Linked DNA regions of Drosophila melanogaster. The protein of the gene in region 1 interacts with the protein of each later gene in a pairwise test. Each region holds a gene or a part of one and is shown in the gene's direction. Other genes may lie near its edges.

Region 1 (7,745 bases):
GAGTTTGTTTTTTAAATCCCAATCGATTTGCATTCAAGTTTGGGAATTCTAGAATTTTTCATTTTTTTGCAAATTTTGATGATGGTACCCCTTACAAAAAATGCGAAAATTTGTCCAAAAATTAATTTTACAAAATCCGTTTTAAAGTGATAGGGGTTGTTAGTATTGGTCATAAGGAGTATAAAATGGTAATTATTTTTGCTCTGTGACCATTTTTAGACAAGTTATAGCCAAAAGAGCCAACTTGAAAATTGAGTTTTTTGCCAAAAGTAGTTCCCAGATTTTTTGTGAAAAAAATATTCGGTATTTTGATCAAAACATTGAAAATAATGACTCAAATATGGAATGTCATACCTCGTTGAGTTTGTTTTTTAAATCCCAATCGATTTGCATTCAAGTTTGGGAATTCTAGGATTTTTCATTTTTTTGCAAATTTTGATGATGTTACCCCTTACAAAAAATGTGAAAATTTGGCCAAAAATTAATTTTACAAAATCCGTTTTAAAGTGATAGGGGTTGTTAGTATTGGTCATAAGGAGTATAAAATGGTAATTCTTTTTGCTCTGTGACCATTTTTAGACAAGTTATAGCCAAAAAAGCCAACTTGAAAATTGAGTTTTTTGCCAAAAGTAGTTTCCAGATTTTTTGTGAAAAAAATATTCGGTATTTTGATCAAAACATTGAAAATAATGACTCAAATATGGAAAGTCATACCTCGTTGAGTTTGTTTTTTAAATCCCAATCGATTTGCATTCAAGTTTGGGAATTCTAGAATTTTTCATTTTTTTGCAAATTTTGATGATGGTACCCCTTACAAAAAATGCGAAAATTTGTCCAAAAATTAATTTTACAAAATCCGTTTTAAAGTGATAGGGGTTGTTAGTATTGGTCATAAGGAGTATAAAATGGTAATTATTTTTGCTCTGTGACCATTTTTAGACAAGTTATAGCCAAAAGAGCCAACTTGAAAATTGAGTTTTTTGCCAAAAGTAGTTCCCAGATTTTTTGTGAAAAAAATATTCGGTATTTTGATCAAAACATTGAAAATAATGACTCAAATATGGAATGTCATACCTCGTTGAGTTTGTTTTTTAAATCCCAATCGATTTGCATTCAAGTTTGGGAATTCTAGGATTTTTCATTTTTTTGCAAATTTTGATGATGTTACCCCTTACAAAAAATGTGAAAATTTGGCCAAAAATTAATTTTACAAAATCCGTTTTAAAGTGATAGGGGTTGTTAGTATTGGTCATAAGGAGTATAAAATGGTAATTCTTTTTGCTCTGTGACCATTTTTAGACAAGTTATAGCCAAAAAAGCCAACTTGAAAATTGAGTTTTTTGCCAAAAGTAGTTTCCAGATTTTTTGTGAAAAAAATATTCGGTATTTTGATCAAAACATTGAAAATAATGACTCAAATATGGAATGTCATACATCGTTGAGTTTGTTTTTTAAATTCCAATCGATTTGCATTCAAGTTTGGGAATTCTAGGATTTTTCATTTTTTTGCAAATTTTGATGATGGTACCCCTTACAAAAAATGCGAAAATTTTGGCCAAAAATTAATTTTACAAAATCAATTGAAAAGTGAAAGGGGTGGTTAATTATTGAAAATAGAAATAGAGAAATTGTTGCAAAAATAAGTCAAAAGCATCTGAAAGTACGATTCATTGTAAGTTCGGATATTAAAAAGTTTATTGTTTGTATGATTGTATGTATGTATTGTATTGCATTGTATGTATGATTGCATATTTTGAATTTTCTCAATTAATCAAAATCATTATGACTAAAACATAGCTTTAATATAAACGGTAAACAAAAACCTATCTATTTTAATTGCCGCATCACAGAGGTGAGTTGGATTATTTATTGGAGCATTTTGGTTAAGCAGCTCAGCCGCAGCATCCTCCGGCATTGCAGGATTGGGAGGGGGGCGGAATGCGCCCAATTCGTCGATTAGGCCTTAATCCACCTCCGCGATAACCGCTACCGCCTCCGCCTCCGCCACCGCCTCCGCCGCCACCGCCTCCGCCGCCACCACCACCGCCCCCTCCGCCCCAGCTACTACTTCCCCATCCATTTCCTCGACGGGAGTTATCTCCGTTGCTATCATTTCCAGTGAATGGAGACAGGAACGATGCAAGCCTGAAAGGAGGGATATGGGTTAAGGAATCCTAAGCTCTTAACACCCATTTAGCACTCACAACTGTTTGACGGCGAACCATATACCCACGAATGTGTCCAAAACTCGTCTCAAGTCCCATGGACGTTTCTCCCACAGACGACCATCTGCAAAACGAAGGGCTTAGCATTCTGGAGATCATATGCTCATTCACTTGCACTTACTTTGATCGACGTACGCCATTTTAAAGCTAAATTAGCATGCAATATCTTTTGTTTCTTTCAAATATTTCCAGATCTGGGCCGAAGCTGAATATTTTGATTTGTTTGTGTATAAAAAAAAAAATTGACGTGGTGTTTAGAGATGGACAAGCAAAGCAGCTGATGATACAACAAATATCGCATAGCCTACGCTGATGTCGATAGTCTCATATGTTGAAATAAATACATTTTTGAATTTAAAAAACATTTTTTATGAACTCATTAAAACAGAGCTTTTGCAAAAGTTATGGTTGGTATTTATTTATGTATTTCACCAGAATAACTATGTATTCCTATTTGGGTACTGTGACTTCGAATTTGCAATTGTAAATTAACGAATATAAACCCGCAGACCGATAGAAAAAAACCTGTAGCTATGTATTGGAGCTAATAGTTGATAAATGGAACCGACGACGGCCACGAAGCAGCGACCCAGGAATCAGTGGTTAATCGTAATCAGCAATTGCCCGCTCGAGTTCGAGTTTAAGACAACTGCGTCATAAGCGCCACATGGGCGGGATAAACCGTGATATCTGGGTCATTCAGGGTGCTGCTATACACGACCAGCCTTCTGTCGGCGCGACATCCTCCCAAGAGTCTTGGGAACCGGATGTCGCTACTATCCTCATCCGCCTCCAGCGGGCATATTGCAGCTCATAGTCGGCTGAATGCGGCCGATCCGGCGGTTTGGTCTTAGTCCACCTGATCCTGATCCAGGTCTTCCTCCTCCACCGCCGCCACCACCTCCGCCGCCGCCGCCCCATCCTCCACCGCCACCCCATCCATTTCCGCGACGCGGATTGGCCTGGTTATTGTTGCCCGTAAAGGGAGCAAGGAATGTTAGGAATCTGTGGGGGAAATCATACAGCATTAGCTATTTGGCACGACGTGCAGTCTAGTGGTAGACTTACAGCTGCTTAATGGCAAACCATATCCCGACAAATAGCTCCACAATCCGTCGCCAGTCCCACGGACGCTTCTCCCACACGCGCCCATCTGTGGAATTAGGCCAATGCGAAATGTGATGGAAATTCAAGGGTGTACCCAAGTCAATTGCACTCACTATGGTCGATGTACACCATGGCGCCACGCTATCCTCAGGGAAGCTCCAGCCACCCTCGATTTATTGCACAGTTTTACGGAGATATGTTTCTTACGGGTGTTTTAGGTTCAACAAATATCTCAACATGCTACTAGAGATGGACCAGCTGCAATGTCAAGTCATTGGTATTGTTCACCATAAGCATGTACCTATCGATAGATAATTTGGTGTTGGTAAACGCAAAGCGAATAACCCAATCAACAGCTGATTGAATAATGTAATGCATCTGGCAACACTGGCCTCGGACGGTTCGCTTGTGGCGTTTAAGTAAATTTATTAAAAACAAGCCTCGCTGGCGGTCTCCTTAATAATTGTTGTCGGCAGTGCGAATCGAGTGGAGTGCGCGGGAGGCGGGATTGGAGGGGCAGTGGGTATGTCAACTACAGTGAACACCAGCTAAAGTCAACGACAACAAATCCAGGTGAGAGACCAGAAAAGATATATGGGTTTGGAATTATCACGTTGGCAGGGCATAGCCAGCTATACTAACAGCTTGTTCCTAACCAAAATCTCGATATTCCATAGCTATAGTATTTCAATGGTCCACCGGCGGCAGGCCTTCCGTTTATTTTCGGCCACTGCAGTTTGCTAAAAATAGAAATGTCCACATAGACAGAATTGAAGGTGTAGTGCATCATCATCATCATCAGAAAGGCCACCACCACCATCATCATCGTCATCATCACCATCGTCATCCGGTATTCAGAATTTTTGGGAATAGATGTTCTTTCAACCGATTCGCGTGTCTTGGACTAGTTCCTCCCACCTTTATTTTATGGGTGTTTCATTATACACATGCCAAAACTGGTTTCGTTCCTACAGAGAGAATTCTATACGAGCATTCGGTTCGCACTTTGGTTTGTCAACAATCTGCGGGAGCAACTTGACCTTTACCTTTGCCGCCAACATGTTAACCCGTTCTCCCCCGTCAAACATGCGTCTGCCACCCAGGGATTGTCTGTATTCCGTCAAGGTTAATGCTTCTGGCAGGTCTCCCTCGGATTTTGGCATTCCCCCTGCACTACACTTTTCCAGAAAACTGTAGAATCATTATCAGCTTGAATTTGGTTGGAAGAACTTTCTGTAGGAAGAGTCATAAATCCATATCCAAATTGCCCGTTTCTCGACTTTTATATATTTTATATAAAAATCCTGTCGTTGTTAGCATATTCAAACCAGACGGGTCAACTACTTGACATCAATCAGAATCGATATGGTCGTTTTTTTTTTATAAGCAATCAATGGCAATGCATTATGTTAAAACAAATGTAGTTCTTTTGAAAAATACACAAATGTTTACCAACCGCGTTAGTTAGATTAGAAATGTAGTGGGTGCCCATTTTCTAAATTCTCAACTTTTAATGAACCATAAATTAGCATTAAAATAAGCACCACCTATTAAAGTCGTACGATTATCAGTTTTCTGGTTGTAAAATTGTGGAAAATGAGGAAAAAAAAAAGTGTTCACCATTGCATTAAAAGCTGTATATACATATATGGCAGAATAGTAGCATTACACATGAGAAATTGAATCTAAACCACAATCGACTATTCGGATTTATTTACTTTTTAAGATGAGCAAAAAAAAAAAAGTTGTTCTCTCGTGAAATATTGGACGCAAATGTAGGTTTTTTCTGTATTAATGTTTATATGAATACAGTGGGATTATATACATATGTAGGCCATAAACAACAGATATGCAGCTATAATATTCTTAATATTCTTAAATATTTCATATAAATATCATGTGGAACAAGACCATTTTTGGAGATACTGAAACCAAAGTATGTAGAACTGCAAGATCCCCTAACTGAATAATTGATTAAACTCAAGTTATTCTTTTTTACTTTTCTGATATGTATATTCTTGGGGGGCATAGACTTAATGGCACCCATTTTCAACCGATTTCCGGCCACTGTGCGACGTCACTTCTAGCTGCACGCCTATTTGGGCAATCAGTTTATTGTGGCGGTCGGCGATTTGTGAGGTTGGTTGGTTAGCTGCCTGGCTGGCTGGCTGGCTGGCTAGCTGGCAAACCCGAACCGAATTTGTGTATATTTCTGCCTCTATTATTCTTTTCGTACTCTGTTTTCAGTAATCGCCAAACACTCGCGTTGTACGCACATTTCTTTCCCACTGGCTCAACATTTATTTTTCCCTCTGACATCATTCGCGGGTGAATCTCTCCGAGTGTTTCGCTTTCGCTTTTGGTTTCAATTTGTTGCTTAGAAATTTCCAGTTTTTCGTTTTTCGTTTTTTTTTTCCTGTGGAGCCACGAGCTTATTCGCTGCATCAATTGCTCTTCTTCCACTGCCGGCAGTCCGAGAATCGTAATGCGTGGAAGTCGGTGCCGCTGCGCAGCCGCCGAGAAAGTGCCGAAAGATTCAGGATTCAAGAGGGAGTCGCTCGTGACGTGGGATCAGAAGGAGCAGAAGGCTCAGCAGGATCAGCTGGATCAGCTGGATCGCTGGTAACAGACCGCTGGAGGGATCAGCGATCGATCGACTTCCCCCACAAAACAGACTGCCGCCAAGACATTCACCTTGCTCTTCCTTAGCCACCAATCATGTATTCGGCGGGTAAATAAGTTAACTGAGTAAACCACCATTCGAAAATCGCACCCGTTGTCATGCAAATTTATTTGGTTGTTCTGCTATTTATGTACACACTTAATATATATGTCGGATCGTTCAACTTGTTTCATTTCGTTCGCATAATATTGATCTTTGGAGCGTTTGTCATTGTTTAGTTCTTGTTTCGAGCTTGATTTCGTTCCGTTTGTCCCTTTTTTAGTTTGGAATTAGAATTGGGTTGGGGATTTCCTGCGCCGGAAACTGATCATCATCATCAGCAGCAGTGGCCACCCCAACCATCTGTGTATCCATGTGTATCCAACCCTCGATCCATTCACATTCATCGAAGTTCTCACACGCACTCTGCCATGGACATGGAAACGCACTTGTGGGCCACTTATGTAATTGACCGCATTTAAATGAGTCAGGCGGCGGCGGTATCAGCGACAGCTGGAGCCCGATAAGTTGGCTTCCAAATTGGGTACGCCTGAAAGGCCATCAAATTCCATCATCACCATTATCATGGCCACAGACTCACTATCGGGATTTTCGGGGCTTATCAGTAATTAATATTAGCGGGTCGGATATTTTGATTATTCTCAATTAATAACATTGAGGAAATACTCTATTTATTGAATTTATTTAACTTATTTTGTTGGCACTTGTAAGTGATCTTGTAAAAATGTAGTCTTATTCATTGAAATATTATTTGCTCCTCATATTTTGATGACGCTACAAGCTAAATATGTCGCTCTTTTCTAACTAATTATTAATTTATTAAAGTTGCTATTATGTCATGTTACCTAATTGGATGTTCGTTCTAGAGGGGATTGGGTCAAGCACTTTCGTTTTTTACCAGTTCAAAGTAATTTTATAGAATGATCTTTTAGATTGCTAAATCAGAACTATCAGCTATTTAAACTAAAATAACATCAGGAGATCATATTTCATACCGTATTTTTGCAAAACATTATTGTTGTTACTATTCTTGATTAAAAAGCTTATAAATTAAATGCAATTGTGCACTATTTTGTGTAATTGAAATGTGGCAATGTAACAACTAACTCATCAGCACCACCGCCTCACCTCTCAACTCAACTTAACTCAACTCATCTCATCTGAATCTCATCTACTTGTATTGCGAGTGCCAGTACTTCCGACTAATCTCAAACTTCGTTGCAGTCCGCACCAACGACTACGACTATCCCGAATCTGAAATGGACGAGCGGGAGAGTCTGTACTTCGACACCATATCGCTGGCGGAATCGGAGGCGGCGGCTGCTGCGGCGGCGCATCGCAAGTCGATCTCGCAGTCGCGCAACACCATCTACCACTCGGCGGTCGATCTGGCGGGCGATGAGGGAGGCGGAGGAAGCGGTGGAGGAAGGCTGCGTCTGGGCGGCGGAGCAGCCGCCGAGCACGCAGCGCTTGCCTGGCAGCCTGGATACCGTCAGTCCACAGCACTGGAGCACCTCAATGGCGGCGGTGGTGGTGGTGGTGATCACACGGATGCCGCTATCGCCGCCCAAATGATTGCCCTGCAAAACGGACGAAACCACCTGCCCACCGGGATCGGTGTGACCGGAGATGGAGGACAAGGAGGTGGTGACGATGAGGTCTCTAGACGTCTGTTAAGAACTAGTAGCAACATTTCTAATAAAGATAAGAAATTGCCAATAACATACTCC
Region 2 (6,901 bases), on another chromosome or scaffold:
GTCAGCTGTGCGCCAGCACATTACAAGTAGGACAAGCTGCAAACGACATTGCCATTAGCTCGGCCTTTTCGTCGGTCCTTCGAAGGGGTAGGCCCGATACTATATTAGCGGCATCCACGACAGGCACAAGCTGAGCTACCAAATGATAAACACACACATCAGCAGCCGCAACAAGGAGCACAGTGGTACCATTTTTGAAAAGTATAATTGATAAAAAAAATTGAAAAGCATTAAAGAAATATTTATTGTTAATAACAAATTACAAAATTTGGCATTACAGCTGTGAGAAGCATTAAGGCTTATATAGACAAATAAGAATAATAAGAAAAAATGTTTTAACTTTGATTAGAAAATATGTTGAGTTACAAGATAAAATTGCTATGTCTGTTATGTTATATTATATATCCAACAATGAAATATAAGTAAGTCAGTTTATGTTAATCAGTTATGTTAAGGTAAGTTTATTTTTATTCTGATAACTCATTCATTAATCATTCCCACTTTATATTAACCTAGCGCCACTGTGCACTAGCTGGCAAAAAGTTAATAGACGATTGACTAAAGCCGACATCCCTGCCGTTCGGTTTCAGTGGGGTGTTGTACTCGAAGGTCCTGATTCCTGAGCGCTGAGTCCTGAGTCCAGGTCTTAGCACCCCTTGGCAACAGGCAAAGTGCATTAGACAAGGGATCCTGCGGGGTTGGGTTCGGTTTTTTGAGCTGAGATGAGTTGGGCATGCAGGTGTTGCCCGATCCTGTTGAAAATTGCTTTTGAATTAAAAGTTTTTGCTTGTGGCCGGGCGGGTTTTGTTGTTTTTAGCGATTAGCTGAAGGGGTGAAGGCTGCGGGATTTGGAAATCGAGATTGCACACTCAATTTATTAGCGCTTTGTCAGTCTCTCAACTAATCGGATGGCTCTGGGGATTTCTGCACTTGCACTTGCTGTGGCCCAGTTCTTTGGTTCTGTTTTCGTTTTCATTGTGTTTTCAATTCCAATCGGAAGCCGTGGCACGTGACTGCTCCACTGGGGTCATTGGGGTGGCGGTCGAAGAACCACCTGTGGCTGCTCATATAAAACCACAGAGTGCCGTTGACCAGCAGTCCACATTTGAAATCGAGATGAGGCTGACCACATTGTTTTCCCTGATTTGCATCGCCATTGGCTACGTTCGGTCCCAACCGGCGGGCTATCCGAGTGCCCGTCCTCCGGCCACTTATCTGCCAGTCAAGCCACCAGCTCCACCGCCTCGACCCCCTCCTCCGGCTCCGGCCAACAGCTATGGTCCTCCCAAGAAGGGAAATGGAAAGCCACCGCCTGCTCCACCCAAACCCAGCTATGGGCCACCACCCAAAAATGGCAATGGAAAACCCCCGCCCAGTAACGCATACTTGCCACCAGGCAATGGCAATGGAGGATCTTCGGGAGGCGGAGGAGCAGGCGGCGGTGGTGGTGAGGATATACCCATCATTAAGCTGGAGTCCAAGGTCAACACCGATGGTTCTTATATGGTGAGTAAGCTATATAATTAAATATTTAATTATAATTTAAATAATCTATATGGCAGTACGAGTACGAGACTGGAAACGGAATTAAGGCGGAGGAGATGGGCTACTTGAAGAACGCCGGAGTGGAAGGGGCGGAGGCACAGACGGCGGAGGGTTCCTTTTCGTACACCAGTCCCGAGGGCCAGGAAATTTCACTGACCTACATTGCGGACGAAAACGGATTCCAGCCGCAGGGCGATCACCTGCCCACACCGCCACCCATTCCCATCGAGATTCAGGAAGCGTTGGATAAGCTGGCCGCCGGAGGTGGATGCCATGGATGCGATGACAACGAGACGGGAGGCAACGATGATGGCGGTGGAGGTGGCTATGTCTACCGACGAAAGTAAAATATTTGAACCATCTTTAAGAAAACTCTTGATCTCAAAATAATATTCATCTTTGTATTGCAATGCTAAAAACTCGATGGTGATGGATCACATTTATGCACTAAAATATTAAGTTACAAATGAGAAAACCATTTTATCGCAATTTTAACTGCAATCCATTTGTAAAGCAATTGCCAATTAAAATGCTTTAAATGAAAACCCCATGGCGGCCTACTTACTGAGGACTAGCAAACACCAAGCCAAGATTTGGTCCTGGCCGGGTACACCTTACATTTGGCTGGGATGGCATGTCCTCTTTGGCCGCCAATACCCATCCAACCCTCTGGACCAGGAGCGGCGGCTGTGTGACTGGCAACACATGTTTTTTTCCCCTGTTCTGCGAATCGCTAGCCCAAGTTTATCCTGTTGATCGCTCGACGAGGGGATTGTGTCGCAATAATGAAAACATTAGCCTCGTAGCATATTTGTCAGCCGACAGGAGCGGAGCTGCATTAAATGAGGGTTACGGAAATACGGAAAAGGGGCGCTAGAAAAAACCAACTGAAGCACCACTTTAATAGTGAAATGTCTTTAATAAATATTATAATAAATAGAAATTAATCAAATAATATATGATGACTTGTTAAATTAAATTTAATTTTTTCTATACAACTTAAGCTTAATTATAAATGAAAATTAAAATGTAGTACCATTTTTATGTTTCCTTTCATAGAAAATTTATTTCAAACATAGTTTAACTTTCAAAGTTTTTACTTTAATTTCTTTCAAAAGTTACTAAATATTTCCAACTATTTTTATTGCTTCGTACCATCGATTAACACCAATGAATCCCCTAGACTCGCGAAATCCGCACCACTGGCCGACGAAGCAACCGTCGAGCCCAGAAATCACGACCCACCCCAAACCGCAAATAGTGAAACGATACACGCCAATATATTATGGCATTAGCATTATAGTGGTGGGATGCGGGGCGGGGTGGTCGTCCTGGGGGTGGGAGGAACCATGTGCCGAATGACATTGACGATGGCGAATGCGATTTGTATATGGTGGCATTATAGCAACAACAACGGGGGAAGTAACAACAAACGATCGTTTAATTTCAATTAAAAACATTTTCCTTGTGCGTAGCCCAAAAGCCAAAAAAAGAAAGGACTCGTCGACGGGTGAGGATGTGGGAGGGGGTATTTTTCGGGCACAGGAATACGCACACTTGCTACAGGCCGCTTAGCTTGGCTTAGTGCTCTGGTGATTGCGAGGACATGATGTTGCACTTGCCGAGCAACCACCAGGACGCACCAGGAACTCGAAAAGGGATGCCAAATGAGCCAGGGGGTTGAGCCGGCAAAGTGCGTAGCTATGTCGAGGCTATAGCCGGTGCCGGACTGGATTCTGGGCTGGGAATTCTTGCACTTGCCGCCAGCCGTGCCATTGTGACACTGCAAGGCCGTGGCAAATCCAAATCCGAAAAATAAGGGAGCAGGATGCGGATTGGGATGCGGATGCGTCGTGGTATAAAAACGCCGGTTCGCTTCCAATTGGAACGCAGAATCGAATTCGAACGCGAACGATGCACACGACAGCTCAACTGGATAGTCTGGAGCAGAAGCGCTCGGCCAGCCTGATCTTCCGAATTGAGCAACTCCTGCCGAGCACCAGTATCACACCGACCAGCATGACCACTTCATCGACAGAAACCACATTGACGGCCACCACGAGCACCGCAAGTCCGGCCAAGCGGATGAGGATGAGCAATCCACGACCAGGTGTTTACGCCTCGCAGTACACGCCCAAGGATACCTGCTCCATGGCCATTCCCACGTCGGCTCTCCTGGGATCTACGGTCATGCCCACGGATGGCAGCCGCTCCCACTGCCAGCTGTCCAATGGCGAACTAATCGTATCCGGTTCACTGTTGCGGCAGATCAAACTCTCCGAGGATGTGTATAGCTTCAATGCCATCTTCGAACTGCATGGTGGACAAGTGCGCGTCCGTTTGGTCAGGGATGTAGCCCGGGAGGACGAGATCGTGGCCTGGTTCGGTGAGGAGTTGGTTCTCCTTATGGGCATTCCCTTCCTGACGCCCCTAAACATTCAAGGTAAATATCATCTAAATAATTTGTGTTATTATTAGTAATACATTAAATAATTCGAATAAATAATTTATATAATATAAATCATAATTGATCGTATCAATATTAACCCCAATTTTTACATTTAATTGCAGGAAATAGTCGCTACATGTGTCACCTCTGCCACTTGACCTTCGAGACACCCCACCCGCTGAAGATCCATTTGGCTCTGGGTTGTGGTCGCAGTGCCATGGACATCCTTTGGATGCGACTTCACTACGCGCTGAAGGCGGCAGCAAGAAGTCACACAGAAACCCAGCACTCACCCATTCCGGCGACCTCGTCCACGTCTTCGGCCTCGCCCACCCACTCGCCACCGCCGCAGATGCCACCACGGTTCTCCGCCTTCCGTCCCATTGCAGCACTTACCCAGAGTTTGCCCATGGTACCCGTAACCACAGCAGCAACGCCTCTATCCTACCTGCCCTCCATGTCGATGGCCACTGCACCGTTGTCGACGAATCCAATGAATGCAGCTGCCCAGATCGAGGCCATAGTCAGCAATATGGGTGCCTCCAAGCAGGGTCATCTGTGCATCTACTGCGGCAAGGTGTACTCCCGGAAATATGGCCTGAAGATCCACATACGCACCCACACCGGATTCAAGCCGCTGAAGTGCAAGTTCTGCCTGAGACCTTTTGGCGATCCCAGCAATCTCAACAAGCATGTGAGGCTGCATCTGCAGACGCATCCGAGTAGTTCCGCGGGAGTCGCCGATGGTGGAGCAAGTGGTGCCGACATGGACGGCGATGTGGACATCGAAGGGGAGACGGATGCTGACTACCAGTGCCACGTGTGCCATAAATCCTTTCCACGACGCAGGGATCTACAGCGACACATGGAGACCCGGCATGGTGGACACCATTCCCATTCCCATTCCGAGTCCCGGTCCAGCTCCACCAGCACCTCCAGTACAACCACAATGACCGCAACGGTGACCACATCTACTTCGAAATCCAGCTAGCTACTGGGCAAAATTTTCGTAGCACGCTTTTTGGGGAACAGCTGTGATATATTGTAGAAATAAAATTTTAAAATGAAATAAAAAAATTAAAAATTACTATTTCAATAAACCAATGTACAAATGAAATAAACTGTATACATTTTTAGAAAATCCCAACATTTGAATTTTAAATATAATATAAATAACCACGAAATTAGACGCCCGAAGTAAGAATCAAATAGTATCGCTTTATTGATAAATTTCAATACGAATTCAAAGTGAATTTCTATCGTATAATGCACAAATCTTATTGTTAGACAATTAATGCTATTACTCGTACAGTTTACGTTTCCGTTTCCGCTCTCTGCGGCTTAATCCATATTCGTGTAAACTCGCTTAACTTTAGGGTACATGCAAAACAATCACAAATTGTCTTCAACTTGGGCAAAGCGGGTGTACGAGTGTGTGTATTCCATGTTTATATTATTTTCTCTCAGTGTACGCGTTTGTGTGTGTGTGTGTGTGTTTGTGTGTGCGTTGAGCAAAACGTTGACGGGCCATAAACACTCACAATTACATGATTTGAATTCACAATTAATCGTACAATTACTTCAAATGCGACGGTATAGTAGTATAGATCGGAGCATAGAGTTAACTATTCTGTTTGCTTGATTTCTGGAACTACATTTAGTTGGTTGCCGGGGGGCTAACGCTTAGTAGAGTTTTAAACAAAGGTCTGTCTCTCTTTCTCCCCAAAACAAGTGTACTGAAAACAATCGATTTACTTTTGGATCTGATTTCGTAGTCCTCAAAACCCACCCACTCTTCATTTCTACGAATATCTTTCTGTCAGTTTAAGGCACTTACTCAAGAAATCGCGATTCCAGAGCGTCCTTTTGTGGTTAGTGATTCGCTTTAAAGTATTACCTCGGAGTTTCGACCAAAACAATGTGGCAAGCTAATTGGCGAGTATGTGTGTGGGTGTCCTTCTGTATGTGTGATCATTTGTGGGTGTGCAGTAGGGTGGACCAGCTGGTGCAAACTAACCATCAAAAACATATTGCCACATAAACTTTATTATTCGCAAAGTATTTGGCCAAAACTAAGTTATACAAGTACAAAAAGTCACCATTTAATATTTTTAAAGCTCTCTTCAATGGTTTTTCTTTAAAAATAATGTAGTGTCAATACCATACAAAATGTGTAAATATATAAACGTACATATTTAGCTTCTCTTATATTTGGCTAATAGTGGTCAAATTGGAAATGTTTCAATTTTAGTACAAAGCACAAATTCCACTAATTTTAGGGCTACGTAAAGTAGGTGAGATTTCGCATAAATTACTCATACGCCACCTAAGTGCGCTCTTGCAACACGGCGTATGAGTGATGTACATTGAAACCATATCGTACTGAGAGTGCAAGCCTTAAATTATAAATAGAACTATGGTCCACCCTAGTGTGCAGCTATCACCTTGAGCACTTAACGTATTTTATATATGTATATGCTCTTTAGCAAGTATGACAAATATGTGTGTTTCGGATATTTCACGATACGTTTCGCAGTTCTCAAAAGTCTGTACTCGGCTTACATATATAAGGTAATATATAGTATAGTTCGTTAATCTATATGTGTATATGCATAGACACCAATAGTTGTTAATCGTTAAGAGTAATATGCAAATTCTGTATGTAGCTTTTCTTTTGCTTGGTTTAGTTAGGAATATGTATACGCGTATTGTTGTAAATATCTAACATAAATTCATACATGAAGCACACTTGGGTTCGGTTTTCATTAACTATTTGCTAATGTGGTTAGTAATTCGTTCAAAGATTTGCATTTAACAAAATATCCATTATGTTAACAATTTGATTTTTTAATTTTTTTTTTCGATTTTTTCGTTTTATTATTAATGGTTTTCTATTTTCAAATATAT
Region 3 (7,403 bases), on another chromosome or scaffold:
TTCAAAATTTTCATGAAGAAAGCTGATGTGAAAATGTTGAAGTCCTATAAAAATTAGCCTATTGATATTACCAGGCAAATAATTGCGTAGTTCATTTGATGTATTTGCTTTAGTTAGTATGTAGAAAATGTTTAGCGTCTCCATTCAAGTTGCTTTGTGTGTGTACTTAGCCCACTTGTATTGAACTTACTCATCGCACAATGTCGACAATATCGCAAGTATTTCACACAATTTCACACGATTCGCAGACAGATAGTGGTATAGTGGTAAATATACAAATATAGAGGGAGTTACGAGTAACTCTCAATGGGGCAGCAAATACAAGTGGGAGGCATTTCGAAATACTCCAAAATAAGTGGGGCCAGGGTCAGGGGTGTAGTATGTAATATATATATATATATCTGAATAAAACTCACCTCGCTGCAGATTGTGTACTTAATTTAGGCGATGAGTTGCCAGCAGCAGAAACAGAAACATTGACCTCGGAACACTTTTCGACATTCGCCTTCGATGATGATTAAGTACTCGAATGCTTTTCGATTACACGCGTTAATTTCACGAAAATATAGTTTAATGGACTTCTTTTTACAGATTTTCGGTTAAAATAGTTGTGGATTATACAGTTTTTAAAATAATATACAGTAGATATTGGTTTGTCTTCATTTGGTTGTCGAGTTTACTTTGTAGTTAAGGTGTTATAACTGTGCTGTTTTCAATGTTGGAATATTTAATATTTTCAATGCTAGTTTTATATTTAATTAATAAGTCAATTTTGCGGATATTTGCTGTACATTAAAATATACATATTTCATATTTATATATTACATGTTTACTTGCGCATTTTATTGCTTTCCCTAAACAGGTAAAAATTCCAGGAAAATAAACAATTTTTGGTGGCTCAGTTGTGGATGTTTATAGACTTGATTTCAATAATCGCATATTTACACTTCTGAATTTTCGTTTCTGATAAATATTTACGCGATATCTTGAAATCGCCGAAAGTGTAACAACATTTCGACGACCTACAAATCCGGGTGAAATAAAAATGATTCAATTTAGTGGGTTAGTCGCAGCGACTAAATGAAAAGCACCCCGCGATTGAGGTGTAAAATGAGGTAATTTCGAATTTAAAAACCCGGAGACCAGGTAAAAAAAAGTAAAAAAAAAAAAAAAACAAAACAAAACAGGTTTTTAGCGATGATAACAAGATGGAACTAAAAAAAAGGGGAGAGAAAAGGGAAAAACCGGAAAGCTAGACGCGATAAAAAAAATGCTAGTCAAGAAAGCGAAAAGCAGCAACTAACTGTATTCCTATAGAGCATATTTTTAAGGAAATCAACCCAAGCACATGTGGTTTTAAAGGCGACAAACAAACAAACATACGTACACAACCACATGCATCATCTGTTTGTAAAATATTCAATGGAATCCAGTCACGACCCGCCGACGCAAAGACAATTTGCAAAGACAGTCTCGCAATCGCAAAGGCAGAACGACGGCAAATGCAGCGGAAACACAATCGAAAGAGCAATAAAAACTATGCCGACACAAAACCAATTAAATATAGTTGCAGTTAATTAATTATAAACCGTTTGGCGAAACGAAAATAAAACACTGGTGGGCATTATTGATATTTTTAAATTTTTTGGCGTCACTGACACAATTCGCGCTCTCTCGCTCTCTTTTATTTGCCTTTTCTTTTGTTGCTTTGCATGTGTGTTGTGTTTCCCTTGATTTTTTTTTATTGTTTTGTCTTGTTTGTTGCTTCTTTTTATGCTTCTCTCTCTTTGGCAGGAAGAACGAGAAACAAACTCAAAATTCTCTGAATATTTCTTTCATTCGGATTTTTTGTGCTGAGCTGCTGAGCAAAGAAAAAACAACAACAACAAACGCCAACGCGCCTTCTCACACAAGCACAATCAGACTCGCACACACATGCACAGTTCAAATTAGTTGGGGCAACAACAATAAGCGATGACTATTGTTATTTAAACACGGCTGCTTTTTTCTCTCTGCTCATCGCTGCAAAAGCCACGCGACAATTGTTATGTTTCAACTGCATTTGGGGAAATAATACTTTAAGAACGGTACATAAAAAAACATTTAAATCAGCACAGTTTCGCGAAGCAAAGGCAATTACAAAACCAAACACTTGAGGGCGCCGCGACGTGTGGAAAAGAGACGGCAGAGCCAAAGACAAAGACAGCTGAGAAATACGTGGAAGCGGTGATTTTCGATTTGTTTTGCTTTTGCTTTTGAACGTCAATTCTTCAATCTATATTTTTACACACAACAATATTTTAAAAACGTTTATATTAATAGTTGTTTTTGAACACATTTAGCGCCAAAATCTCTTCATATTTTCCCGGCGATTTATCGGATTTACCGATGTATTTTCAACACAAGTGCGAATCTTTTATTTTTTTTATAGGATAACCAAAATAATTTACCAATGTTTTTCGTCTTTAAATATTTGAACTTTTAGGGAAACAGCGTGCGCATTCAGCGCTCTCCCGAATTTAATTGAAATGCGCGCCTCCGGTGCGAAAATTGGAGTGAACCCGACGCAAAGTTGAAATGAAAACAAACTGACGACGGTGTGTCCGAATTTCGGGTGTGTTAAAACACTTCTGCAATGCTAACAGAGCTCTGTAATGTGGATTGTTCTACTGTTGCCATACGGTCACACACTTTTAAGCCGCTCAAGTGCTTGTGACACCACTACATTTGATATATAAATTAATATGCTTCTAAAGAGCTTAATTAATCATAAACTAGTTCATCTCTGGAATTTTGTGCTTATTGTTTGCCCTAACAATTCAGACTTTTGAAATCTTAAAACCCAATTCCTTCCATTGTACTGGACTCCACAATGTAGTGTCGTAGCGGTATAAGTATGATCTCTCTGTTAAGCGCAGCAACAAGGTGGCAGCGCTTGCACTTCCGCTAACGTTAAAAGTTTGAACAACCCGGCAAAATATTTTAAATAATTTAAATAAATAAATAATAATTAAATAATTTAATAAATAAAACACAAAGCCTTTCATCAATTTTAAAGAGCTGCCTATATTATTTTGCTAGATTTTGCTTGTGCTTTTGTAGTAAAACAGAAAGATCGTTAATGAGGAATATGAAAGTGTTTTTACTAAATACAACTTTACCAGAATCTTTGGCATAAAGCCAAAATAATACTTAATATGAAATATGTTCTTATCAAACTTGCAAATTCAATTTTCCCGCCAAATGTAAAGTGTGACCAGTTACAAGTACCAGTCCTTGTGAGCCTCTGGTTTTTTATTAGCTAAAAGCGGCGGGCACTCCGCAACTCAGCTGATCGATCAAACAAAAAATATTGATACACAGGAATTTATGAAAAAAAATGCGCAGCGTTTAGAAAGGAGAAAGTATTTAGTAGCACGCACGAAATGGACAAGAATCTGGATGAGGTTTGTGTTTGTACTCTCCTTTTTTTATATTCAGCCCCCTAAAACCGAATGGACTGTGTGTTTTGACTGCTGTTTACTGATACACGCCCCAATTTTTCATCGCCCAGGTCAAAGACACCGTACAAAAGAAGTTCAATGAAATCCGTGCTGCGTTGCATATGCGCGAGAAGTTGCTGCTCCGGCAACTGGAGGTCATAGCGAACACGCGACAGCAGCAGCAGCTGCTGAAGAAGTCGCCCACCGAAATGGAGAACTCGAACTCGGTTGGCAAGAAAGATCAAAGTGGTGTGCGTTTCATTCCCGGGGAAAGCGAGGATGCGGAGGAGAAACTACTGACAGCCATCCGAAGCTACGGACACTTTCTGCTGGACAACAGTGATATGCAGTTGGCGCTGCAGGATTACCGCACCACGGGTTTGAGGAACGAGGACTACATAGAGCCACTAGATGACCACGAGACCATGTACAAGTGCCTGCAGGATGGGCAAGTATCGTATCTCGATCTGGACGAAGACGGTGCCCCACCAGAGGCCATTGTGGTCGACTTCTCTCGCAACAGAAGTCTCGTCGAAGATAATGCCAAGCGCTCCATTATCAACATTACACTGCAGGAGGCAAAGGATCTGATAAAAAAGGCCAAGATCAAGAGGGATACATATGTGCCGCCCTTAAACTTGGAGGAGCTGGATGACGAGTTGGAATCTTCGATTGCCGAAGCCGTTTCCAGCTTGGGGCGAGAAACCTCTGCCAAATCAAAGAGCAGCGTACAAGAACCACCGAAATGCAAGGGTCGCAAACAGCGCTTCAAGCCAAAAATCACAATCAACAATTGCAATGGCACGATCAATCTGCGCAACATAGCCAGCCTGACCATCAACTGCGCCAGCGAAGAGGCGGTGAGTGCAGAGATGCCCCTGGCCAAGTCCGCCGATTCCAGTACCACCGAACCCTCGAACTCCACGCCCACCACCACCGCCTCCAGTTCCAATTACTCCAGTAATGCCAGCTCCCGTTCGCAGTCCAAAAAGCAAAAGGCGAACAAAAAGCTGGACAAGATAGAGCGTGAACCCAGCTCGGATTCCACTCCTACGCCTGGACAGGCCCAGCGGTACGAGGAGACCGAGATTCACGATGTCACCTGCGATTTTTACAATCGCCTACTCAACGAGATCAAGAAGAGCATGGTAGAGAAGCCACGCAGGACATACAACCAGTTGGCAGAGCCCGTTCAAACATCGGCTGCCGATTCCAGTTGCGATGCCAACTGCAATCCAAAGCAGTCGGCTGCCAAACAGGAGCCAGTTTCGACCACCACATCGCTAACGCACAGCGAATCGGGACCACAATTGCAGCCGGGCAAGCGGCTAATCCTTAAGAACTTCGAGAATCTCAAGATCATCCTCGAGGCAAACAGCGGTGATGAAGACTCATTCCATCCCGTCCAAATCGAGCAGTGGCTGGCAGAGATTATCTCCGAAACGGATCTGGAGCCCATGCAGAACACGGATATCCTGGAGCACAGTCGCATCCACAGCAGCGAGAGTCCCTAGAGCTGCGGACTCGCTGAATTCCGAACTATTTATATCGTTAGTGCACTCAGTATTTTCTGTTTGTTATGATTAGCTATAGATTCCTTAATTTGTTTTTAGTTTAAATTCTAATTTTAATTAGTTTTGATTTCGTGCAGACACTTGCAAATGTTTTTTATATCCAATTTAAACTGAAATTGGCCGCACTGGAGCTTAGGAAATTTTTAATCGAAATCGCTGAAGTTTATACATTTGTGTATAAATATATTAATATTTAGTATACGGCATAAAAGTGAAAGTTTTAGAAATGTAACCATATACTTTTATTTATCAGATAATGTTTTTTAAGAACTAATAGTACCCAAACCTTATTGCTCAATCAACTTTCACCAGAAACCAGAGCCGGATCCAATTGTTTATGTACTTAATGCATTTGATTTTGTGATTTTAATCTTTTCGTAAGACTCGAAACTGGTACCAATTTAGCAAGTAAGCTCCAGCCAGTGTTCAATGCTCACCGTAGCCCATTTGTAAATGCAATCGAGAGAATTCCACATTAAAGTGTTAATTGCCATCACAAAATGAAACATCTATTCGATTTCTTGCTACTGGATCGACCGGTTCGGTTCGTTTCGTTCGCTTGAATTTCGCCATGCAATTGAAATTCGAAATGTACCCTGGGCCATTAGACTTCCAAATCGGGACAATAGATAAGACCATCGAAATATACATTCTAGTTTGGGTGTGCATGTGAGCGAGGCACTCCAAAAGCATTAGTAATGTTGATTCGAGACTAGAGTGGACTTCTTTTATTGAATACACATCTTAATGTATTAGAATAACTTCTATATTGATGTAAGTAAAAGCCTTTGAGTCTTATTTAAGCCACTTAATCGGTAAAATGAATATGCTGGTCCCTGAATATTTATTCTTTTGCTTATTAAAGTATAAAATATGGAGAGCTCCGTATAAATAATTAGAAAATCCTACAAAAATTGCACTATCTGTTACAAAAAGTTCCATTTTCCATTAATGATTTTAAGAGGTCCACTCTAATCTACGCATGTACATATGAACATGGTATCAAGACATCGGACATGGAACGTAGACCATTACTTGACCTTTCCGATAATGTCCAGCAGAAAGGGTGTGTAGTAGGTGATGATGCAATCGGCACCAGCTCGTCGAAAGCCCTTCATGGCCTCCAGCACGGCATCCTTGAGGTCAAAGGCTCCCGCCTTGGCGGCATGATACAGCATAGCGAACTCCCCGGAAACCTGGTAGACGTACAGCGTGTGATACGGATAGGAATCCTTTGTGGATCGTAGGATATCCAGATAGGGCATTCCCGGTTTCACCATCAGCATGTCGGCTCCCTCGGCGACATCACGTTGAATGGCTCTCATTGCTAAGCTTCTGGAGCCACTGGGCAGTTGATAGCACCTCCGGTCACCGAATTTCGGTGCAGATTGTGCTGCCTCCCGGAAGGGTCCATAGAAATTGGATGTGAACTTGGCGGAGTACGCCAGCAGGGATACACTGTTCATCTGGGCATCGATGAGGGCCTGCTTAATGGCCTTCACCCGGTTGTCCATCATGTCCGATGGAGCCACAATGTGTGCTCCAGCTTTGGCATAAGCCACGGCGATCTCGGCTATCCGCTTTATGCTGGGTCCGTTCTCCAGACCCGTTTCGCCCAGCAGGCCGCAGTGACCGTGCGAGGAGTACGGGCAGATGCACACATCACAGGCTATCAGCAGATCCGGAAACCATTCCCGGAGCTTCGGCAGTGCGAGAACGACTGGATTCTTTGCTGAATCCGCATTGGAGGCCTGCTCATCCTTCATGTCCGGGTCCACAACGCCAAAGAGCAGCACCGACGACAGTCCCTTGGCCACCAGCGGTTCCAGGTGCTCCTTCAGGCGATTCAGTCCGAATCTCGAGATTCCTGGCATGCTGGCAATTGGCTGGACATCGTCGTCGTTGCTCACGATGAACACCGGATACATGAGATTGTGCGGCGCTATCTCGCAGCCCGACTCCTGCAGCTGCCGCAGCGTGGCATGGTGCATTCCACTGTGCAGTTTCCGCTCCATTTTGTTCGCTTAGCTCCCGGTGAAAATTAAAACCAACGTAACAACAAGTGAAATTAACGTTCAACTGCCCGCGGGCATATTTAGTGCGTGCTCTATTGCACGGTTGTCCAACACTGTCATGAAAAGATTAGGGTGGCTCACGATAAAATAAAATAATTAAATTTAAAAACTTATATAAATAATTAAGATAAAATTTTATTTATATTAAGAATTTCATAGCGATAAATCCCTTAATTAATTTTTTATCCATATTGATTAAGGATAGGTCAACACTGCGTATGCGTAGTATTACTTGAATATTGCTATTGAATTTGTAATTTATTGAATTCCAG
Region 4 (9,807 bases), on another chromosome or scaffold:
TTCTGGCTGAGGTTCCTGCCGGTCAGATGCTTCTATTCTGATACACTGCGAAAAAATTCTAAAAGTATGCCATATTATTATCTAAGAGAGTATACAAATGTTTTATGCTCTTTTACCCTAATATAGTAACGTGATTTTTATGACTTAAATTAAATCCAAAAATAAGTAGTTCGTAATTTGTTTAATAATGATTTGTACAAAGCTTAAAACATAAATTTAAATGCATATAAATAATAATATTGCTAAAAAAGACTGTTCTTAAATTCCTGAAATTTTAATTTTATGATTATGACAATCATTAAAAAAATATTTTATTATTGATAAAAAAGGTGGTTTATTGTACTTAAATAGAATTCATCAAATTTGTACAAGCACACGTATTTCATTAAAGAATAACCTAATAGTAATAATATCTGTCACATTTTAAAATAGTAAACAGCCAATTAATTTTTTCTCCAAATGTATCCATCAGATGCACTTCAATGCAAACGAGGAGATGCGAATGCGTCGTCGTGTCCACTTGTGTCGTTAACGGACATTGCAGCTCCGCCTTTCACTCCCCTTTTGGGGATCGACGCCTCGTGAAGGCGTTGTCAATTTGGTTTAATTGTGGCCAAGGCTGGAGTGGGCCCAAATGAGGGAGGCAGACCCTGGTTCTCCGCAGCGGGAGGAGCAATCGCTGCCTGGCATCTCCATCTGCATCTGCATCTGGATCTGCAAGCGAGCCAAGGGCCTTGGCTGGGTGGACCATCAAGGCCAAAGACCGCATCCAGACCAGCGTGTAATTGATATGCAATCGTTGTTGCTGCCACAGCATTGTGGCATCTCAGCCTCCTTTTTGTTCGCACACTGCAACGGGGCCACGACAACAACAGCAACTTCAACTGCAACAGCAAATGCAACAACTGTGGCAACAACCGACGACGACAACAACGGCATCTCAAGGTGAGTGAAGGCCAAGGGCCACATTTGGCCACAGCTTGGACACGGGAGTCATGCACTCCAGTGGCGAACAAAATGGGGGTCTTAGGGGGGTCATAAGTACCCTTAAAAATTATAATACTTGGTTAGATACATATGTATGTACATAAGAAATATATGTTTTATGCGAAGAGCTTACAAATATGACACAGAAAAGGGTTAATTAAATCGTTAAGTCCGCTAAATAAATAATATAATGTGAATTTTTAGACACCTTATAGTATACACTGAAGATATATACTTATTTCAACCGGACACTAAGAAAACCCCCTAAGAATATGTTTCCCATCCGCCTCTGATGCACTGCAGCTGCATTGGTATCTCCTGTTCCTCCTTCGCTGGTCATTTTTATTTTTAGCAGCGGGCTTATCGGATGCCTCAGATCTCTGGTGCTTAAACTTCGCTCCCGATTAGGAGGAGGAGGAGGAGCAACTGCAAGAACCACATTGGATTGGCCTTGACGGCTCGGCTGATAAGTGCGTTTTAATGTTAGCCCCGTTGGCACTCAGTTTCAATCAAAGCCCAATTCTCTACAACCATTCCAGCCTGGCTTAATGAGCTGGTTAGTTCTGGCCTGGAATTGAAGTTGGATTGGCAATATAGTCCGGTCCACTTGGTTCACTCCCTTTGTTCTGTCTCGAGTGGACTGTGCCCTGATTTGTGTACCACCATTGGTTCTTTGAACTGCCTTCGTGGCTAATTAAAGGTGCACTTAAGATAGGCCAGGTGGCAAGAATCATGTTTTTCATTTTTCAGGACTGGGAGTACTTTGATTTTATGTCCTAGAAAAAAAGAGCAAACGAATCAGTCTAAAAGGTATTTCAGCTGTAAAACATTCCATAAATATAGGAAATTTAACTCTTTCTAATTTTAATTAAAGAATATTCTAAACGTCATCTGGTCAATAAACTAAATGAATATTGTAGAATGAAATATTTAAATTACATATCAAACATTGTATATTAAATAATAATAATCAATGGACCTCTGTTTGTAATACCTAATGCTTAATTTACGAAATTAATTAGAAGTCTCCTCAGGGTATTTCGTTTTCCAAGTTAGTCTTTCAGTTGCTTTGTATTTTGGTTTTGGGCCAGGGCTATGACTTCATCGAGTTGGCCACAAAAACTTACCAAATTCTTCCGACCGTCAGTTCTCATAAATCAATGTCAAAGGTTTTTTTTTCGTTCGTTTAGGGTTTGTTTTGGGTTTAGGACGGGCTTGTTGTTTCAGTATGTGTTTAATCATTTTATGGAGTGCGAAGTAATTTCCTTATGATTTCCTATTTGACTTTTACTTTTTCCTGAATGTCCAAAATAGAAAAGTTCAAAGAACCCATTTACCTAGTAAGGCGGTCGACAAATCTTAACCGCTTGAAATAAGTACTCATTTGCATAGCTAAGCATGAGCTCACTGGTTAGTATAGCCCAAGTCACACCCCAAAAACACGTCTAAGTAAGCCCAAAAGATACACCCTTCATTATTCGAATTGTCTGGCACTTGTTGTGTGTGTTTTTTGCCCAACAATTTCACGCATCGTTTTTTGTTTTTTTGCGCTTAAACAAATTTACTGACTACAAACTCACTGTTTTAGTAGCTCAGACTGTGTGGCGAACCCCTCCCCTTCTCTTTAGACAATATAAAATCAGGAAAAGCTTTAAGCTTTATTCCCTAGAATTTCACTCACAACAAACCAAAATTTTGAGTGTAACTTGTTGGTTTGATAAGATTCTGGTGTGTAGCGTCACTTTTGTTATTCTGAGTTGTTTTTAGGTCTCGTTTGTTTCTTTTTCTTTCTGATAAATGGCTTCGTCGTGTGGCTTTCGTTGTTAGTTTTCGTGTATAAAATTTTGCGAAATGAAGTCATCGCTTGAAAAAAAATTGGGGGGTCAGTAAAAGTGTCTATAAGATCCAAATCGTTTTCCTTATCTCATTCAGAAAGTTTTGGAATTTATGTTAGCTCACCAACGATTTGCCATCTTTTCTTTGGATAAAATGCTAAGGAGGATTTTCCTTTTTGAGTTTCTATTTCACTCAGCGAAAGCTCACTCAAAACAAAAATATCACTCATACGCCGCTTGGGCCTTCGCTAGCCACTGGCTGCGCATTTGTCCAAACAGTTGAGTTTCGACATCGCCAGCATTCGCGCGTTTGCCTTAAAGTGATTGGAAAATAGCCGAGGAATAAAACAAATATTTTTTTGGAAATATATTCAAGAATTTTTGGAACTTTTTTAATAACAAATGTAAGTTGGAAACGTTTCGAGAAAAATAATCTAGTTCGTTGGATTTATTTTTTTTTTTAAAATGTTACTGTATCCTGCATCTATAAGCAGACTCCGAGCCAAGGATATTTTTTTTATTCATTTTATGAGTAGCAGGTTCATATTTTCAAGAGCAGATTTTGACCCACTTACCGCGCATCGCGTTCCCCTTTTCTTTTGTTCCTGGGGAGCACCATTGTTTTCGATTTCCTTTGGGAGGTCCTGATTTAGGCGCATTTTCCCCGCTTCCGTGTGTATATATGCGTGCATTTGAATCATCAGTCTGAAATTCCAGTACCGAGACCCCCCAGGAAACCCCTTCTCCAAACTGGCGCTTGCGCGTTTCCCAGCTCCCAGTGATGTCATCTGGGCTAGTGGTGATGTAGCTACACATTTCATACACATATTATGTCCCGAGCATAAGTCCCCCTCCTAAGTCAATGATTTCTCTATTGCGTTGCGTGCTCTATCAGAATGCCCATGACTTCCTGTTTTGTTCCCCCCAAAATAAAAGTTCTCTTTAATTTATGCATTCAGTCCGAGGTGCTAATATTTCTGTGTGTTTATTAACACACGTAAACTCATATGTGGTGCAGTATTTCATGTTTCTCCCCCCAAAGTCGTTTGTTTTATAAATATACATCGAGATGACCCAAATTTCGCTTCCTCCATTCGCTTTCCAGCGGTCCACTTGAGGTAGGTTGGGTTTATAATTGCGTTCCCCTCTCCAGGAAGTCCATTCTTTTCGAAAATGGCTATCTATAATATTCATTCATATTCCTATTCAAATTGTGGTCATATGTCATATATATTGCCCAATTAACTTTTACCATTTTGGTAGAAAACTAATTAAAATGTTGGCAACGAATTCGCAATGCTCGACTGGAGCTGGATGAGAACTTGTTCTCCAAATCGAAAATACAGAGAAAGAATCCAAAACAGAGATGGGAAATGAGAAGAATCGAATTATTTATGGTCTGACAAGCAAGCGGATTATTTCTGATTTAGACTATCCACGCTCCCCATCAGACTGCCTGATTTTCTGCCATTCATTTCACGAGGGGTATCTGCACTTTGAGTTGCCAAAGAATATTAAGAAAATAATTTATTTTGTGTGAATATAGTATCCAAGTCTGATCAGGGTATCATAGGATGAGTCTTTCCATTGTCGATTGCGATGATTTAATACTTCCGCTTTTTAAATTGATTACGATCATCTTAAACTGTTAGTATTTCCCTCGAATAATTATAATATTTAGATTTTTGTAAAACCTTTCAGAAAATTATTAGCAATCGGGCTTCTATTAAAAATCAAACTAATAACGTCAATCTTAGTGTAGAAAATTGGATCTAACAATCCGAACTATTTGCATTGGCTGATGGTAGTTAAAAAAGATTGATTTTACTAATATTACAAAATGAATTCTATTGTGAAAAAAAGCATTTTGAAAGCCACCATAGATAACCTAAAGATATTTCTTATTAGTTTTGATTTTACAGGTAATTTCCTAGTCGATAGCCTCTTGTTTTTTGCCATCTTAAAACTCTTCTTGCATATTCCAACTTCTTTTGTGGTGTAGTTTGTCAACTTTTCTTGTTTCCGAGTATTTATGGCTTCCAATTACATGTAGGGGCGGAGTAAAGGGTTCCATTAGTCTTGTCCGGGAACTGGGACCGGATAATTTGTATCGTCTTGAGCGGAGTTCAAGTTCAATGGCCCTGGTCTTGAGACCAATAAGATGATTAATGACCGGCAGACTTGCTATGCATGCAATGTTCCCAATTAACCACTCAGTTTACATAGATCATTTCGATGGATTATCTGGGGAATATGGGCTATTAAATTGCCTCACCCCAGAGCTATTCAAAGCTGATCCCAGAACAGCGTAATCAAGAGCCGGCGTAATGAGGCGATGACATAAGCACTCATTTTTCGATTTGGATTGCGAATGGGGCTAGGGGGTGGTAAAATAGTATTTGACATGCTCGACGGGCTGCATCAAGGTCATGGTGATTCTACCCCGCCCGTCCACTTCGATTTCGATTCGCATCTGTGCGGGCACAAGCCGTGGCATCATATCTCACGGATAGAGGACTCCAAACTGGTTGCAGTCGCATCTTATCGCCGCATTAAATGCTTGCCCAAACGGCTTCCATCTCTCCTGGGGCTCCAACTTGCAACCTTAAGTGGTGCGTAATTAATGGCTCCGCCAATAAATGCTCACGTTTTATTTACTGTTTATGGAATGATGGGGATGGGTCTGAGGATTCGACTTCGTGTTGGGTAGCCTGTAAACAAGAGGACAATTTATGCTACAAGCAATTTTAAAACTAAATTATCATCCAAATTTATGCCACGTTCGGTGGGTAACAAATTAAGCGAGGAATTTCTGGCGATGCGTAAAATATTTATTGCTCTTTTTGTTATTTTAATAAGCGTAAAAGTGATTCATTTTAATAATTTTAGGGTATATCTATAACTGTATAGCTGTACCGTAAATACCTAATATCGCCTTAGGATTATTAAAACCCATGATAACTGCATGCTAGAGACTAATCATAAAAGATCTAGCAAGCTAGCGCTAAGTTCTGACCCCCATAGAGTAACCCATGTGAGCCAAACCTGTTGACTATTTGTTTTGTGTATTTGGGTTTGCCAAAAGGCGATAATTAGCTGCGTTGGGAGATGGGGGACCCAAACCGATGACGCCATCTAATGATTGAGTCTCTCCCAATTTGCCTTTAGATTTCCATCTCTCGAAATCTAGCTGAGAGAGCTTTGGCCTAGCTTTGGGTGGGTATAGCTTTGCCTTTGTCCAGTTCAGCATGGGTTGTGATATCATTGCGAAAGCGAAGTGAGTAAAGTACTGATAAGGTGTTCGCAAAGATACGTCTGGGAATAGCACCTACATATGTAGATAGTTGACAGTGACGGACAAGACCCACCGCAATGTTGGTGAGCGTTGTGGCCCACAGGTGAGGAACTGCGTAGGTGACAACCGTAGTCAACCGATTACGCAGGAGCGGAAAAGTTGCGTGTTGGAAGAAACCACTACAAAATGTTAAACAAAACAATGACCTATCAGGCTAGGCATATTATTAATAATAAATGATCCTCAGTCCATCTGTAAAATTGAAGGTTCTTTGTCCGTAGTTGTTTATTTATTACTGGGCATCTATTAAAACACCTGTAGGGTTCAGTAAAGGTTAAAAAAATATATATAATATTAAATATATTTTTCAGATCCACCATGTCCGAGGTAGCTGCAGCAAATGGAAGCCCCTCCCCAGCGCCAACTCCTGAGGTGCCCGCTACCGAGTTGGCCCAATTGGCGCTGGAGGATGAGCCCAAGGTTAGCTTTTCGGATCAGTTCAAGGCCTTCTCCAAGTTCGGGGACTCCAAGTCCGATGGCAAGCTGATAACGCTGTCGCAGAGTGACAAGTGGATGAAACAGGCCAAAGTTATCGACAAGAAGATCACCACCACGGATACAGGCATCCACTTCAAGAAGTTCAAGGCCATGAAGATCTCGCTCAGCGACTACAACAAATTCCTGGACGATCTGGCCAAGACGAAAAAGGTGGAGCTGTCGGAGATCAAGCAAAAGTTGGCCAGTTGTGGAGCTCCAGGAGTTGTGTCCGTTTCGGTGGGTTTGATAAATTGGTTGTGAAAAATATGATCTATATAAGTCAAATGATTAAGATTGATTTTAAAGTGTAAAGAACTTCGAGAAGACCATTTAGATATGACAAAATTTAAATGATTTTTTTTTGACTCATTTAAACTATCAATTGTTAAAGTAGTTTTCTTACAGAAGTTCTTAAAAAATATCTTTTTAAACCTTTGAAAGTCATAACCATATACTTTATGCCTTTATTGAAAACCTAATCAACATTTTGTTACCATTTTTAGGCTGGAAAAGCCGCAGCTGCCGTGGATCGATTGACGGATACGAGCAAGTACACCGGTTCCCACAAGGAGCGTTTCGATGCCTCCGGAAAGGGCAAGGGTATCGCGGGCAGACGGAACGTGGTCGATGGATCCGGATATGTGAGTGGCTACCAGCACAAGGACACCTACGACAATGCCCACTAGATGGGGTAACCACCGTTTTTCACCCTCTCATAAATCTGTATTTCTAACTTTTGTGTTTCCCTAGTTAATGTCTCCCAATCTAATTTATCTTTGTGTATATAATAAGTTTGTGATAATTTAAGTGCTTACAAATAAACTTATATTTTTGATTATAATTTTTGAGTTCCTTTACTTTGTTTATCCTTCTTTGTCCTTTGATACGTAAAATTTTGAAGCGGCCCAAAAAGAGTTCAAAAGTAAATCCAAATCAAATTTATATACATTTCATGGCAATCAAACCCATGTTTGGTAGTCTTAAGATAACAGATAAACTTTTAATATTACAATTTGTGAAAGAAATTTAAATATCACATATGGAAACCAAAGATATACGACATACATATGTAGATATATGTTATGTTTTCACAAGAATTTTGCTTGAATAAATACACTTTAAAATATTTGCATTGCTAAAATTTGTATTGGGAGGAAATACAATTTAAAAAACCAAAATTTTAAAGCAATTAAGATGGTTTTGTAAATCGAAATATACATTTAATTGTAAGATCTTTGAAAAATGCCCAACATGTGTACCTTCTTAAAAGCAAAGATTTCACTGGAAGATAGTTATTAAGAGATCATTGCTTTATCTACACAATGACATTATCACTGATGCAAAGCTGACATCGAAAAACCGGAGCGGTGTGAAGCAGACTGAACGCTACAGCGACCAGATGGGGATGGAAATTGATATATGGGCATAAGTTGCATAATCCTAACCCAGAGCAGGTGGAAAACTAGCTATTGATTGCAGTCGAACCAAAGTCACTCAACGATATATCATATAGCCCTTGGGAAATAGGTATAAAAGCGGCGAACATTACAGCTCCAAGTCAGCAGTGCAACTGAGGAGCTCAGTGCTTGATGAAGCCACAAGGAATACCACCGACTACTACACGAATCAGCCAGACCAAGATGTCCTTTCGCGGCAAGAATGCAGTGGTGACCGGTGGAGCTGGAGGCATTGGACTGCAGGTGTCCAAGCAGCTCCTGGCCGCTGGAGCAGCGGTTGGTTGTTTTACACATAATTACGTGAAGTAATTTCTAAAGCGAGTGCTTCCTAGAAGGTGGCCATCATTGATTTGCAGGATAATCTGGAGGAGTTTGTAAAACTTAGGGCCGCTCATCCCACCCAAAGCGTAATGATCATCAAGATGGATGTGGCGAACAAGAAGGGTGTGGAAGCCACCTATGAGGAGATAGCCAAGACCTTCGGTAACATCGATATTGTGGTCAATGTAGCCGGGATTTTTAACGACAAGGATGTGCAGAGGACTCTGTTGGTAAATCTCGGTGGAATCATCAATTCCACACTGAGTGCATTGCCCTACATGGGCAAGGATAATGGCGGCAAGGGTGGCATTGTGGTTAACATGAGCTCGGTGGTGGGTCTGGATCCAATGTTCATCATTCCCGTTTACGGAGCCACCAAGGCTGGCATCATCAACTTCACCCGGTGCTTGGCGGTAACAAGAATTTCTTACATATCTTTTGAATTAGGTTTTTCATTTAAGTCTCTTTCTTAATTAGAACGAAAAGTACTATCAACGCTCGGGCATCAAGTTTGTGACTGTTTGTCCTGGAGCTACAATGACGGACATGTTCACCAACTTTACGGAGAAGATCATCTTCCCGGAAACGAGTGACGAGACCTATAGGATCCTGGATAGGCTAAACAAGCAGAGTGCCGCTGATGTCTCTCGATGCATTCTGAATGTCCTGGAGAAGGACAAGAACGGAGCTGTCTATGTCATCGAGGGTAAGCGCGTTTACCCTTTGGAAATTAAGCCCCAGTGGACGGGCAAGGAACAGGCCCTTTAAGTGGGTTAATTCGTTCACATCCTAAACACATGCATTTTACAAATATGAAGTTATTATGGACACTAGTTATTTAATAAACAAACGATGCACAGAAATAAGTTCTTGTGGTGATTAGTCATCCCGCCAGCTGACCAGCACTTCGTCCGTTCGAAATCGCTGAGTCACATAAGATTCCTCAAAGGGCATCCTAGTGCCAGAGCGGAACATTTCTGCACCAGCATGGGCAATCATTAGTCCGTTGTCTATGCAGTAACGTTCATCAGTGGCAAAGAGTTTGCCTCCGCGTTCCTCGCACATAATACGCATCATCTCCTGGAGTCGCTCATTGCAACCCACACCTCCAACTATAAGGACCTGAAAAGAAGTCGGTTAACTCATAGATTAATTTCGGAAAACTGTTGCAACCAACCTCATTTGAGCCGCAGTGTGCCATGGCGCGCTCTGTGATCTCCACCAACATGGCGAAGATGGTCTCCTGCAGCGAATAGCAAAGATCGGCTTGGCTGTAATTATTGACCTCTTCTTCCTGTGGCTTTTTTCTCTTATTTTGCCTCTTGCCCGGCTCTGCCAGGTCCTCGATGTAGGATAAAATCCCCGAGAAGCTGAC

What was found.
Region 2: the proteins of CG10353 (region 1) and Prdm13 interact in a two-hybrid assay, tested with the Drosophila melanogaster proteins (one large-scale study listed by BioGRID).
Region 3: the proteins of CG10353 (region 1) and CG32100 interact in a two-hybrid assay, tested with the Drosophila melanogaster proteins (one large-scale study listed by BioGRID).
Region 4: the proteins of CG10353 (region 1) and ringer interact in a two-hybrid assay, tested with the Drosophila melanogaster proteins (one large-scale study listed by BioGRID).

What each region holds. Positions count from the first base shown.
Region 1 is NC_004354.4:11,883,116-11,890,860, reverse strand, and holds the start of CG10353 (uncharacterized protein), read left to right. Parts: upstream 1-3,698; 5' UTR 3,699-3,905; intron 3,906-5,577; exon of another isoform or gene 5,578-5,579; 5' UTR 5,580-6,050; coding exon 6,051-6,063; intron 6,064-6,277; exon of another isoform or gene 6,278-6,538; intron 6,539-7,239; coding exon 7,240-7,745. Other genes in the region: CG1840 (uncharacterized protein), read right to left, coding at 1,893-2,145, 2,205-2,289, 2,347-2,365.
Region 2 is NT_037436.4:6,159,698-6,166,598, forward strand, and holds Prdm13 (PR/SET domain 13), read left to right. Parts: upstream 1-3,429; 5' UTR 3,430-3,459; coding exon 3,460-3,988; intron 3,989-4,116; coding exon 4,117-4,985; downstream 4,986-6,901. Other genes in the region: Cpr65Az (cuticular protein 65Az), read left to right, coding at 1,117-1,506, 1,563-1,892.
Region 3 is NT_037436.4:12,264,205-12,271,607, forward strand, and holds CG32100 (uncharacterized protein), read left to right. Parts: upstream 1-3,323; 5' UTR 3,324-3,425; coding exon 3,426-3,446; intron 3,447-3,553; coding exon 3,554-4,996; 3' UTR 4,997-5,599; downstream 5,600-7,403. Other genes in the region: Pbgs (porphobilinogen synthase), read right to left, coding at 6,088-7,071.
Region 4 is NT_037436.4:16,352,718-16,362,524, reverse strand, and holds ringer (ringmaker), read left to right. Parts: upstream 1-3,096; 5' UTR 3,097-3,226; intron 3,227-6,076; exon of another isoform or gene 6,077-6,220; intron 6,221-6,333; exon of another isoform or gene 6,334-6,434; intron 6,435-6,488; 5' UTR 6,489-6,495; coding exon 6,496-6,891; intron 6,892-7,157; coding exon 7,158-7,340; 3' UTR 7,341-7,779; downstream 7,780-9,807. Other genes in the region: Pdh (photoreceptor dehydrogenase), read left to right, coding at 8,244-8,387, 8,444-8,845, 8,910-9,200; Tcs3 (Threonyl-carbamoyl synthesis 3), read right to left, coding at 9,312-9,554, 9,610-9,807.